Bombyx mori: one gene and its partner. The protein of the gene in region 2 interacts with the protein of the main gene of each other region in a pairwise test. Links are inferred from orthologs where the notes say so. Each region holds a gene or a part of one and is shown on either strand. Other genes may lie near its edges.

Region 1 (8,646 bases), on a different chromosome or scaffold from region 2:
GAAAATCGCCGGATCCCCACCCGCGCGGCAGGTGGGGTATGTGGGAGTTGAACCTCACTAAAAACTCCTGCCGCTCACAACCGGCGCCCTACCTCGGACCGGGCCAGAGCCCAGTCGGGGCTATTGAAACGGCGGGACAGGGTTGACGCAGAGCACATTACATCCATCCCACCGTCCCACGGACGCCGGACCGGTGGCCGCCAGCGAAACGACCACCGGTTCCCTCGTTCAGCGGGCCGAGAGCCCGCTTTGATGGCGCCGCGTTACACCTTCCCCCAGAGCGGTCGGGGGAACGCGGTCTACCATCACCCGGCTTCCTATTGCGGGTGAGCGTGCAGAGCACGCCACCCCTCGTCTGGGTCCCTCCCCGCACAAAACGGGTGGGACCCCTAGCTCTTAGGGGGCCAGGTCACGGATACGACCCCGGTCCCGACCCCCTGCTCGGCGGCGGCGGGTTTCTGCGTAGTGAGGAGAGCTTTCCCTCACTCGCCCCGCCGCCTCCTTCTGCGAGATGGTGCACTCGCAGAAGTCGAGCATAGCCTTCCATGACTCATCGCTGCCAAGCATCGACGCCACGACGCCAGGCAAATAAAGTTAAATTAGATAAAGTTTAAACAAAAGGATTTTATTATCATAGACATGAATACAAAAAAGTTAAATTAGATAAAGTTTAAACAAAAGGATTTTATTATCATAGACATGAATACAAAACAGATGGCGCGTAACGGAAAAATGTGACGCGTAACCGAAAAATGTGACGGTAAATTTTTTTCCAACGCCGATAAGGAAGTTTCACTTCAAAAAAAAAAAAAAAAAAAAAGAGGAGAAATTCATTCAGTTATGGACTGACAGTATAGGGAGATATATGGCATCATATTTTTCCTACTGTGAACACGTGTTTTCGAAGTTAGGTGCTCTCAGTACTTCGAACACGTTATCACATTAACGGTATCCCTATTTTAATAACCGAGTTATTAAGTTAAGTTATTGTGCATTAAATTGTTTGAAAACAATATTTTCTTTTACTATAAAATATACAATTTTTATTAAGCGATCAATTAAACTGATAATAACTTGAATATTCAATTCTTAAATATAACTAAATTTAAACCTTAATTTTCTGTTCAAGTAAAAACAACGCTAAAAACCGTCAATGACAATATACTGTAGTACTGCGTTCCGTTTTAACCATTTTAGCTAATGTAAAGGAACGACATCGCAGTATATTAAATTGACGTCACATCTTTGAGTGCTGGCAGTGCATTAAGAATACAGATGAAGTGTGGTAATTGGTGTTGTTTTTTAAATCTTTCCACGTGCTACTATGGCGACACCTTAATTAGTTAATTAGCTCCCTTTTTATATAAGTACTAAGATAGCACCTACTTAGTTCTAACCTCGATAAATCAACGGCTACCTAGCCCTGTAATATATGACAAGTCCACCAATATCATTTTTAATGTTATTACTTAAATGATGAATTTCTAATTTTTTCTTTATTGCCCTTGTAGGCAGATGAGCATACACGGCCCACCTGATGGTGAGTGGTTACCGTCGCCCATGGACTTCAACAATGCCAGGGGCAGAGCCAAGCCGCTGCCTACCGCTTAATACTCTCCACAAGCCTCTTTTAAAGGACACGTCATAGCGCTCAGGAAACACCGTGGAGGGGAGCTCATTCCATAGCCGGATGTTACGTGGCAAAAAATACCTCTGGAAACGCACTGTGGATGATCGCAGTGGCTCCAGGTAGTACTGATGAACTCTACTCCGGTGGCGGGCGGTGCGATGGTAAAAACGAGACGTTGGTATCATCTCGAACAATTCCTCAGAGCACTCCCCATGGAACATGCGGTACAAAATACAGAGGGAACCGAAGTCCCTCCGCAGACCCAGAGGTTCCAAACGATCCGTGAGAATGGGATTATCGACGATTCGAAATTCGATTAAAAGTGTGGAGGAGAGCACCGCACCTTGTGGAACGCCAGCATTAATGGTCATGGTATCAGAAGTCACTTAGTAGTACTTTCTCAACTGCTCGAAAAACAAGGCCAAACCACAAACTTGCATTGTCTTATGTCATGCCTACCTGGTATAAAATATAACAAAAGCGATAAGATAGTAAAACATATTATATTATGTGAAATTTATGTTCACCAAGCTAGGGAAGTAAGCTAGAAGAGCGGAGAGGAGGCGAGCTTACCAAGAAAGGGACGACATAAGATGACCTGATCACCTGTGAGGCCTATCTAACCAGAAGTAGATGAAGAAAAATATTTATATATTCCAGCATATGTTTGATAAAACAAACAAAAAACAAATTTATATGATGTTAATTATTTTATTGTTGTATGCAGTATATTTTTTTAAATACAAAATTGTTCAGCCTTGTGATGAGAGAAGCCAGTTCCTGCCAGGATGCGGACATGATTGATAAATAAATAAAAAAACAAAAGTATCAAGGCGCCAGTTTGGAATTATTGAGTTATTTCTTATCTAACATTTAGAATTTCTCTTCTTCTAGACCATGTTTGAAAAACATCATGATTGGTATTTGCGTACCATCAAAGTCTCTATATTCCATCATGGCAACCATGCCATCACAATCCATAGACTCCCCAGTAAAGAACTGAAGTTCCTTAAACCTGCCGAGGATGTCTTTCATTACTTTGTTCATGTTTGTTTTAAATACTTCAACTTGGTCAGGCGCCTTCTCTTCCAATTTTGCTACTAATCTGAAATAATAAAAAAATTACATCATTAAGTTGTAAAAATACAATCAAAAAATATTGACACCAGTAAATAGTTATTTGTCATCTCTATTTCATGAACAAACATTATAAAAATGAATGTTTTTTCATTAGGGTTCTATTACTTTTGCATCAAAAGCTCCATAAGTGAACATTGAAAATTTCACTTTTGGTATTAGATGATGCTATTATATTAAGCATGCACATCAAATAATCCAACCTTTGTCTCTGCCTGCCTGGCATGGTTGATGCCCTTTAGCTTTTGAACAGACTTAAAAGATAAATGTGGGGATTTACTATTATTACTGCCTTTTAGCATTTTTTCACCATAATGAATTTAAAAATAAATTTGCACTAAATTGTCTTGTGAAAATGAAAAAACTTATATTTGCAAATATAGGTATACATGTAATACAAAGCTACTGTTTATATAAGGCAGTTAACATTTCTTCCATTCTTTTTCAAATACTCAAAGGGAAACAGACAAGATCCCTTTTTTTAAACTTAACCTTATATATCAGCTGCAATAAATAATTATATAGTAATAACTATTTTTAATTTAGTATCTAAATAGTTAGTATTTTTTTAATTATCAACAATCATAAAAAATAAACTCACAAAAATTTACTTTCACGATTTTCTTACACCTACCTATACTTAGTGACTTACTATAGGGGTAAAATAGTAACATAAATAAATTGAATAATAAAAAATTTATGAATATTGAAATACATTTCTCATGATCTAAAAATCCAGAACTAATGACCATTGTTGTGTTTTTGAATCAAAGTTTTAAAACCCTTTAATATTATTTTATAACAAAGCCATTTGAATGAACTATACTTAATCACAATGGTTTGAATGATTTTCAAACGTCAGTGTAAAATATAATCACCTTGTTGATTTACAATCACCATTATGCTTCTTGCAAACATAACTAGCCATAAACTAAACCAAAATGTGATTTAAGCTACAAATTGAAAATCCGTAAACAAAAGCAAACATCAGCCTCATAAGTATCTAATCTTCAATGATAAGCTGATTTCAATGTCATTGTCATGTATATTACACATTCAATTATTTTCATTACCACAATGAATAATTTGTAAGCTGTTATGTAGGATGTTATTAGCATTGTCATCAAGCATTATTGATGATGAGCTGAGTCATAACCATGCAGTAACTTTGAAAAGTCGTAAGCCAGGCGTCGTCTGCGTGACCTTAAATTCATTGAATCTTTACAAGGTTTTCACTCCTTATAAACTCTTTTTACATGAAACGCAGTGTGCACAACGAATTTAATACGTTTTTAAGTATAAAATATACACAGCACTCACTTTTTCATATAGTCTTTGAGGTACAATGTGTAGGATTTCTTGTCACCGAAGGCGTATGTTTCGACTAGCCTGTGGTTCAGGACTATGTCAACTCCGCTCTCGACGGCCGAGTCCGTGCCCTCGTCAGCCTCTTCAGCCGAAGGATTAAAACCCTCGATCTGGATATCACCCTGTGCTCTCGTCACCAACCTACCGGTCACTTCGTAAATAACTTCATCGACCAATTTCATTTTGTAAGTGTCAGAGAACATCTCATCACCTGAAATGAGAAAACCGTACTTTTAATTTTCACTTTTGATAATTTAGAGGATCTCATGTCGATGTGGCAAATTAGTTAGGTTTCTGAAATTAATAAGTCTAGTCAAATGTCAAAATCATCAGTTATCAATATTATTTATTTTAAACACGAAATCACAAAATATTACCAAAATTAAAAGCAGCATTTCGTAGAAAATATGATTACCAGTGATAATGTCCTTATAGATCTTCATTTTGATGGATTGGAGGCGATTAAAAATAATAAAAACCGAAAGAACGGCTTCTCGCCTCAACAACTAAACCGGAAAGGACATTTGACATGTGAAAGAAAGCAATGAAACAAGACTGTCGAATATTGTTTGTAATCTATGGTTGTGTAACATAGTAATCTATCGACAAAGCTCACAGTAAACTAAAAAGTTATATTAAGTACCATTCTAAAGTCCGCTGAAATAGCCTCTCAAGGCTATCAGCTTAGGTAGGAAAAAAAAAGTCTATGGGCTCCTAAGTAGACTGAAAAATTCTACTTACAAAAGTTGTTACAATTTGATGCACAATCTGGACAATTTAAATATTACCTACTGATTTAGGTTTATTGGTAGTTTTCCAATTACAGAGCATAATGCATAATGCGACTCAGTGGCACACAATGCCGAAATATGCTGAAGCTTAATTGGAACGTGAATTAGTTTTCAAATGCATCAGCAGAGTGCGCTAAGTTCATGATGATGATTCGATCAAGCCATTGCAATGTTTACAAAAGTGTATTCTTGTAAAATAAATTTGTTTACAGATTCGAATTCTAAAATGAAATTGTATTCACATTTTAAATGCGGAATATAAAAAAAAGTAATTATTTGTACCTTCATCCATACTTATATTTATTTTTTTAGCACAGTTGGAATTAACTTTGATTATTTCCAAGAAACTACGACGAAACGAAAGCCTTAAATTTTTTCAGCAATAAAGGTTTACACTTCACTGAGGTCTGTTACTGAGTTGGTATCGATTGCGAGTATCACGCGAGAACAGTACTTTTGAAAGTGCTCGATTGTGCGAAGCGTTGCTGTAATTGGAACATTCAACGTTGAGCATTATGCCGCATAATGCGCTCTAGTGCTGTAATTATTATCAAAATGAAACGCGAGACAAGGTTCTTTTTTTGTGGTAAAAATTAAATCTTTATTTGGAACTTAAATGAAAGTGATTAATTAACTAAAAGCGAGTTAAATTTGTTAAAATTTGTGTTAATTACAAAAAGGTCATTACAGCTCTATGTTTAAAAATCTTTTGATTTTCTTTTTACAAAATTAGGGTATGTTACTTAAAATTAATAACGGGTATTTCCACGTCTGGCCCTGATAACCGCCTGCATACGATCAGGCATGCTATGGATAATGTTTACTGGGGTATTTCTTCCCAGGCGGCCACTAGGGCGGTTTTCCACTGACTGATGGTCTCTGGAGGGTTGGGACTGGATCGAATTCGCCTTTTAAGTATATCCCAGACATGTTCTATGGGATTCATGTCTGGACTTCGTGCTGGCCACTCAAATTTTCTGATGCTCACCTCCGACAGGTAATCATCGACGCAACGTGCTGTGTGAGGTCGGGCATTATCTTGCATGCGGATGAAATCTTCGCCCCCGATGAATCCCACGAATGGTAAAACATGTTCCTGAAGGATCTCTTCAATGTATCGCACTGCTGTTAGACGACCTTCAACAACTACCAACTCTGTGCGTGTGTCTGAAGAGATACCTCCCCAAACCATAACGGACCCACCGTGGAAACTGACGGTTTGCCTGGTAGTGATTGGCAGAAACCTCTCCCCATGACTTCTCCACACACGTTCGCGTCCGTCTGGAGCTCTTAAGGCTACTCGGCATTCGTCAGTCCACTGAACTTTACTCCACTGCTCGTGAGTCCACTGCGCGTGTTCACGAGCGAACCGTAGTCGAGCTACGCGATGGTGTCGGAGCAATTCGGACCACGAGCTGGTCTTCGAACACGTAGATTTCGTTCCTCCATTCTCCTTCTTATTGTTCGCTCACTTACGTTGATTCCTCTTGAAATTTGTAGCCGCTGCCGAATTTCGACTGCAGTAAGGAACCGATTTCACAAAATTGCGAGAGTGATAAATCGGTCATCTCGCTCTGATGTACACCTAATACCACCACTACCTGGTCTCCTTGTGTATAGACCGGTCTGGTCGTACCTTGTTACGGCGTACCTGAGAGCTGTACGCGATACATTTAAAGTTTCAGCAATTTCTCGCTGCGTTCGCCCCTGATTTCGAAGTAACACAGCCTGAACAACTTGAGCAGGTGTTAGGGTCATTGTTTTCCAATTCTAGAAGCATAAATTACTACCGATTGATAAAAAAATTAAACATTAAAGATTAAATGCAAGACTATTGGAATATCGAATTTTAACTGACCCGTCTTTTGTGCGTTTCACTAACGAACTAACGTCAAGTGTCACAGAAATGAAACAAATGGACATTTTTAAGTGCTTACTCTCAAAATTAACAAAAAAAATGGTTAAGATAAACTGCCACTCGAAATTCTCATACGCGATACAAAAATCGCCCGTTATCGGTCTGCTTAGGCTTGGGCCATATTCCGTGCCGCTGACTGTTTATGAAGACAGCGTCAGAACGCTTCGAGAAAGCGGCGCAATACGAAAACTATCAAATCGTGATTGCTTGAATGAAATTATATACCCGAACCAGACGACAGGGAAATACTAACGATAAGCTCGGCAATACTCGGCATTTTGGAACCATTCTCAGTACCTACTTCTAAGCATTCTAAGTATCAGTCGCGGTTCTTGTCGAACTCGTTGAATGCGAAAGAGTTCGACTTGCTATTTAACCCACAGCTTCAACCTTAATAAACTAACGCATGTTAGCAAGTTTTCTCAGGCTCAGACCCGTAAAATTGCCACGTATCATATCAAGACGCAGAATAACCCTCGAGGCTACCGGTAATTAAGTAGACAAATTCACCAAAAACGCTAAATTGTGTTTTCCACAATCTCAGTTGTTTGATTTATTCGTCTTATTCAACGAATTCTCAGATTAAGCACTGAAGGCGTTGTAGACAGTATGTTAGTACGTGGTAAATATAAAAAATATATTTTAGCATTAGGTACATCAAAAGATTCCTAAATGGATATACTATTTTCAAAGGCATTAATTAATGCTAAAAAATATTTGATCGCGCAATTCACTGACTTTGACATAGGCCAACTTCTAACTTGACACTCGAATATTATTGGTAGGTAAATGGAAAGTTGAAATCGCTTGAAGTTGATGGATCGGATATAGATGGCGCAGTTCCACCCATTCCAAAGGAAACTATGGAAGTTTTTCTTTATAATTCGACTGTTTGTAGATTATGTGGTGAAGAAAATGATAACGGCACCGTGTTATATGTACTTGAAGATAATAATACAAGCTTGAGTGAAATTGTTAACACGTATTTACCGATAAAGGTAATTGCATTTACTCTTAAATTGTATTGACCTAGTGTCAAAGTAAAATAGCTGACCTTCGATTTAGCTACTATATTAAAAGTGTACAAAAATTAATGAACATTTTAAACTCGAAAGTATTTTTAAAAAACCATAACATTTATTCGATTTAATTTGCAAATAGTTTTCATCCATTGACGGCGAATGATCATCTTGATGAATGTTATGGCGAACAACAACTAATCCACATTGTCACACAAAATGAAGTCGCGCCAGATTTAATTTACTTGAAAATCGAAAATAAAATGTATTTTGTTGTTTTAATATAGGTGTCCGATGATGGTCAACTACCACGTACAATTTGTCCTGGATGCACTATACAGCTGGAAGCCACCGTAGAATTCTTGAATCTGATTATAAAAGGACAGGTAATAAAATGAAATAAAAAATTAACACTGAAAACTAAAAAAAGCTTTAACAATTAACAATAATATGGGCAGTTCTTTAACATTCTTATGTTCTGCGTGTATGGGAGAGGAACCTGTTTTCGACAAGAAGGGGTTTGTTGCTCAAATAACTAATCTCAACAGTTTTTATTGCCTTTGAACTGCAAAAACTTAGATCTTGTTAATCATTTTAATCACATTTTATGTTTGAATGCACTCAGAAAATGTTTTCCAATGTCAACTAGGTTATTGTAATTTCAGAAAACACTTCGAGAACTGCATCAAAGAGAGATTGAATATAAGAAATCAACTCTCAAGTCTACAGAAGAAGTTATAACTGAGGATATTGTGTATGAAGGTAATTAACTTCACTTTTAAT
Region 2 (3,958 bases):
TTTTGGATTTCAATGATCATGATCGAATTTTGATCATTGGTAAAAAATATACAGACGAACCACAAAGTGATCTTATCTTTTTTCTGTACTTTGCGCCTGGTCAAAAATTTGTACTTTATCGACATGTTTAACCTCGGCTAAACTGGGTGTAACTGGGTCGCGACTTCTAAACACCAGATATAGCTTAAGTACGTTTGCGTACATGCAGAAGATGGTGTCAGAATTTCAAAAATTTGGATATCGGGGACTGTGTTACGATCTCTGAATTTATAAACTGCATCGCTTAATGTAAGTTACGAAAGTCTCTGCAGATTCTCTGAGGAATTAGCCGAGATTAAATTAATCTATTCACATGAAACTACATCAAATATATTCTCCAATAAACTATAGTATGAGATTATTTCTTCCACATAATCGGTCTTTCATCAAAATAGATATCTTGGGGAGAGATAAAATGTTTCTTAAACTATTAAGCATTTATTTTTAGTAACGAAGCATCACCTTTTTAGTGCAATATATTATTATGTGAAAACAGGTTATTATATCCTTCTACAATATATTTCGTAATCTAACCATTTCATCCAATGCAACACCATCACAGTCCCACACCTCCTGTCAAATCAAGTTCTTCTATCTGATGATAGTTTCTGTGACTACTGGGGTTTTAACGTGAAATTAATTTTAGATTCCGGAAAAGGAATCTGCTAGAATATCCAAAGAAGACAGCAGGCGCTGCGATGCATAGTAAGTGGCACAACTGTCTTTTAATTGTCCGTACTGTCGTTAATACTGAAGAACCTGATCACGATAATGGGAAAATTTTATTAATTTACTCTATTGCCATCGATTCTCGATAACTATACGAATTTAAATTAAATCCAAAGCTTTAAACTGAGTGAAAGTCACTTTCAAAGATACATATGTACACACCAAGCACATAAAAACTCGTTAAAATAATACCTCTCTGTGGGGTTTGTACAACAGTATAGTAGCATCACTCTGAACCCTTTAGGAAGCTTTAGGTATTGAAGATTTGAAAGTAAATTCAATGTAAATTACAATAAAGTAAAATAAGTCGCAGCCCAAGTACTCAGCTTGGTACTCGACTTCTTTGGATACTCGAGATTGTACTCAATTTCTGGCTATCCGAGTTGAGTTCTTTCTTAGTATTGTAGCTTGCAAGTGCAGTATACAAATACATGAAAATTTCTAAAAGGTATTCAAATTCATTTAATTCGACACATTGCTAGTAAATCAATCAATCGAAATGATTTGAATAATATTTGCAAAGATGCATAAAATTACACACTGAATGGTTCTGGTGAAAAGGAACGTATAGTCGGCCATGTTTTCGACAACAACATCACGTCGCAACGTAAACGTCAACTTGACCATTCATTTACAATTTTTCGATATAAATATAGTTCTTTCTTGTGAAATTAATTAGTTTTAGCATTTTAAAATATAACTTAATGAGAATATGAACCGTACTGAGGGTTTAGTGCAACGAAGAAATGTTATAAAGGAGAGTAACACAGACGGACAGAAAGAAAATCACGACAACGATGATAAGAAAAATGATAAAAATTATGATGACGGAGATTCCAAGGAAACTAAATTGACATTAATGGAAGAAGTGTTACTGTTAGGGTTAAAGGATAAAGAGGTGAATATTTACATGACTAACTGATCTGATAAATACAATGGCATTCCAGCAGTCTAAAGATCGTGACATGCTCATCTTCTACCGTTTCAGGGTTATACATCATTTTGGAATGACTGCATATCCAGTGGTCTAAGAGGATGCATTCTAATTGAACTGGGCTTAAGAGGACGACTTGAACTGGAGCGAGCTGGAATGCGTAGGAAAGGCTTGTTGTCTAGAAAAGTGATTGTAAAGTCAGGTAGGTGACTACTGCTCAAGTTTAATTAACAAACCCATATATCTGTTTTAAAAGTGACGATAAAATTTTGAATATTCTAAAGTACTCATTAACAACTGATCAACACTGAAGCTAAAGGTACTATTAATGCTAAATTGATTAAAGCTATATTTTCTCACATAGAATATCCTTTTTGTTCCAGAAAATGCATTTCTTTAACCTAGTATAAATATAGTAAAAAAGTTGACAATTTAATTTTCTTTCATCCAAATTACAAATATTGAAATTTGAAAATTGTCTGAAAAATTAATCACTACATCCTAAGTTTTGTTTACATAATATATTTTCTAGAAATTAAAATTTATAAGCTATAAGACTTAGACTAAATAGCAACCACATAACATCAAATGAGCCATAAGGATGTTGAGTAGTCCTCAATGTTTAAAAAAAAATTGTAATCTTTCACACTTACACAACCTCAAAACCATCTATTATTCTTAGTATATGGTGAGCAGATAATGATGAACTAACAGGGGATTTTTTGTGACAGACGAAAATAAACAATCTTACTAATTATTTAAAAAAACAAGCTATCAATAATTAACTATAAAAGAACTAAAGTATCAGCTTGAATTGAAATTAATTTTGATAACATTTAAAAAATACATTAGCAAACATTATTTTATTGATAAAATATTTTCGTAGAAATAGTCAATATTTAATTTTCTTTTATATTTAGAAGCAAATTATTTAAAAATAATAATAATAATTAATAATAATAATTTATTTATTAACCTTGATACATTTACACATAATAATTTATAATGGTTCTTGAAACTTGTTGTGCAAGATACTCTAAAGCAATTTCAAATTCTAATAAGCAAACAAAATTAATTATTTCACTATCAACAAGCTCTTCTTAAATTACATTGTAACAAAATAAAATAAAAACATTTTAGATACTTTAACCGGTGATGTTCTGCTAGATGAAGCTCTGAAACATATGAAAGATACTGACCCTCCAGAAACAGTACAAAGCTGGATTGAATATCTGAGTGGTATGTAAATATTTATGATTTCAAATGTTACAGTTGTGCAACAAATATGACATTTACCAAGAGCTTAGAGTTTATGTGTTGTGAAAATTAAGTTATGCAATTTTATCAGGAATTGTAACTTTGTGTTTTGGAGGGCAATAGATCCAATTTCACAGTTTTTGAGAATTGGAAATAAGTATGTTATAATCTTGAGAAAAAACTATGGTTTATGTTAGTCAATATTTCTAAGAGATTTTAGCTCTAGGCAGGTTTAGAAACTTGGCAGTAGATTTTAGTATAATACCAATAAGTGGTTAAATTAAATGTTGAATAGATTAAAACTCCTAAAAATTATTCAAAATAAAACAATAAATCTTTTTAAATAGAATAACAGATTTAATTTTATTTTACAACAAATTGGCTTGGCGCAATTGCTTTCCAAGGCAAGGATATTTACTAGGGTTTGCCTACTGATCAAAATTCAAGCATAATTTCTGGCACCTTAACATCTCTTCTGCCAGAAGCTGGAATGGCACCTTAGGCTACCAGCGAATAGGTGGGGAAAAGTGTTTAAATTCTTATATATTACATTTATTTGCTTTATTATCAATAGCCACCTCATAAAAGAAATTATACTTCACTGTTTGGCCGTGGCCTATTTATATGAAAATATATGGAAATGAGTTTTAAAGATGTAGATGGACAATATTTTTAGGTGAAACATGGAATCCAATGAAACTGAAATACCAGTTAAAGAACGTACGCGAAAGATTGGCTAAAAATCTGGTTGAGAAAGGGGTTTTAACAACAGAAAAACAAAATTTTCTTTTATTTGACATGACGACACACCCTCTCACAGATAATGTCGTTAAGTGCCGTTTAGTTAAAAAGGTAAGTCAAATAATAATGTTTTGATATTTAGTTATTTAAAACCCTTTATTATTAAAACCAGCTACTTCAATACACACCTGCCAATTAACAACAGTAAAGCTGATTGTTTATAAATAATTTGCAATAATAATGTCGTTACCATTAAGG

Evidence for each region.
Region 1: the proteins of Golgi phosphoprotein 3 homolog sauron (region 2) and Tctp interact in binary tests that used the Drosophila melanogaster proteins (3 or more experiments, as listed by UniProt). The link is inferred for Bombyx mori from reciprocal best matches to the Drosophila melanogaster genes sau and Tctp.

The regions. Positions count from the first base shown.
Region 1 is NC_085110.1:16,151,056-16,159,701, reverse strand, and holds Tctp (translationally-controlled tumor protein homolog), read right to left. Parts: upstream 4,654-8,646; 5' UTR 4,579-4,653; coding exon 4,551-4,578; intron 4,347-4,550; coding exon 4,088-4,346; intron 2,736-4,087; coding exon 2,504-2,735; 3' UTR 2,326-2,503; downstream 1-2,325. Other genes in the region: zinc finger protein 271, read left to right, coding at 7,708-7,842, 8,151-8,249, 8,529-8,625. UniProt on the Drosophila melanogaster protein: Involved in calcium binding and microtubule stabilization.
Region 2 is NC_085111.1:10,440,947-10,444,904, forward strand, and holds the start of Golgi phosphoprotein 3 homolog sauron, read left to right. Parts: upstream 1-1,158; 5' UTR 1,159-1,480; coding exon 1,481-1,666; intron 1,667-1,756; coding exon 1,757-1,904; intron 1,905-2,842; coding exon 2,843-2,941; intron 2,942-3,635; coding exon 3,636-3,811; intron 3,812-3,958. UniProt on the Drosophila melanogaster protein: Phosphatidylinositol-4-phosphate-binding protein that links Golgi membranes to the cytoskeleton and may participate in the tensile force required for vesicle budding from the Golgi.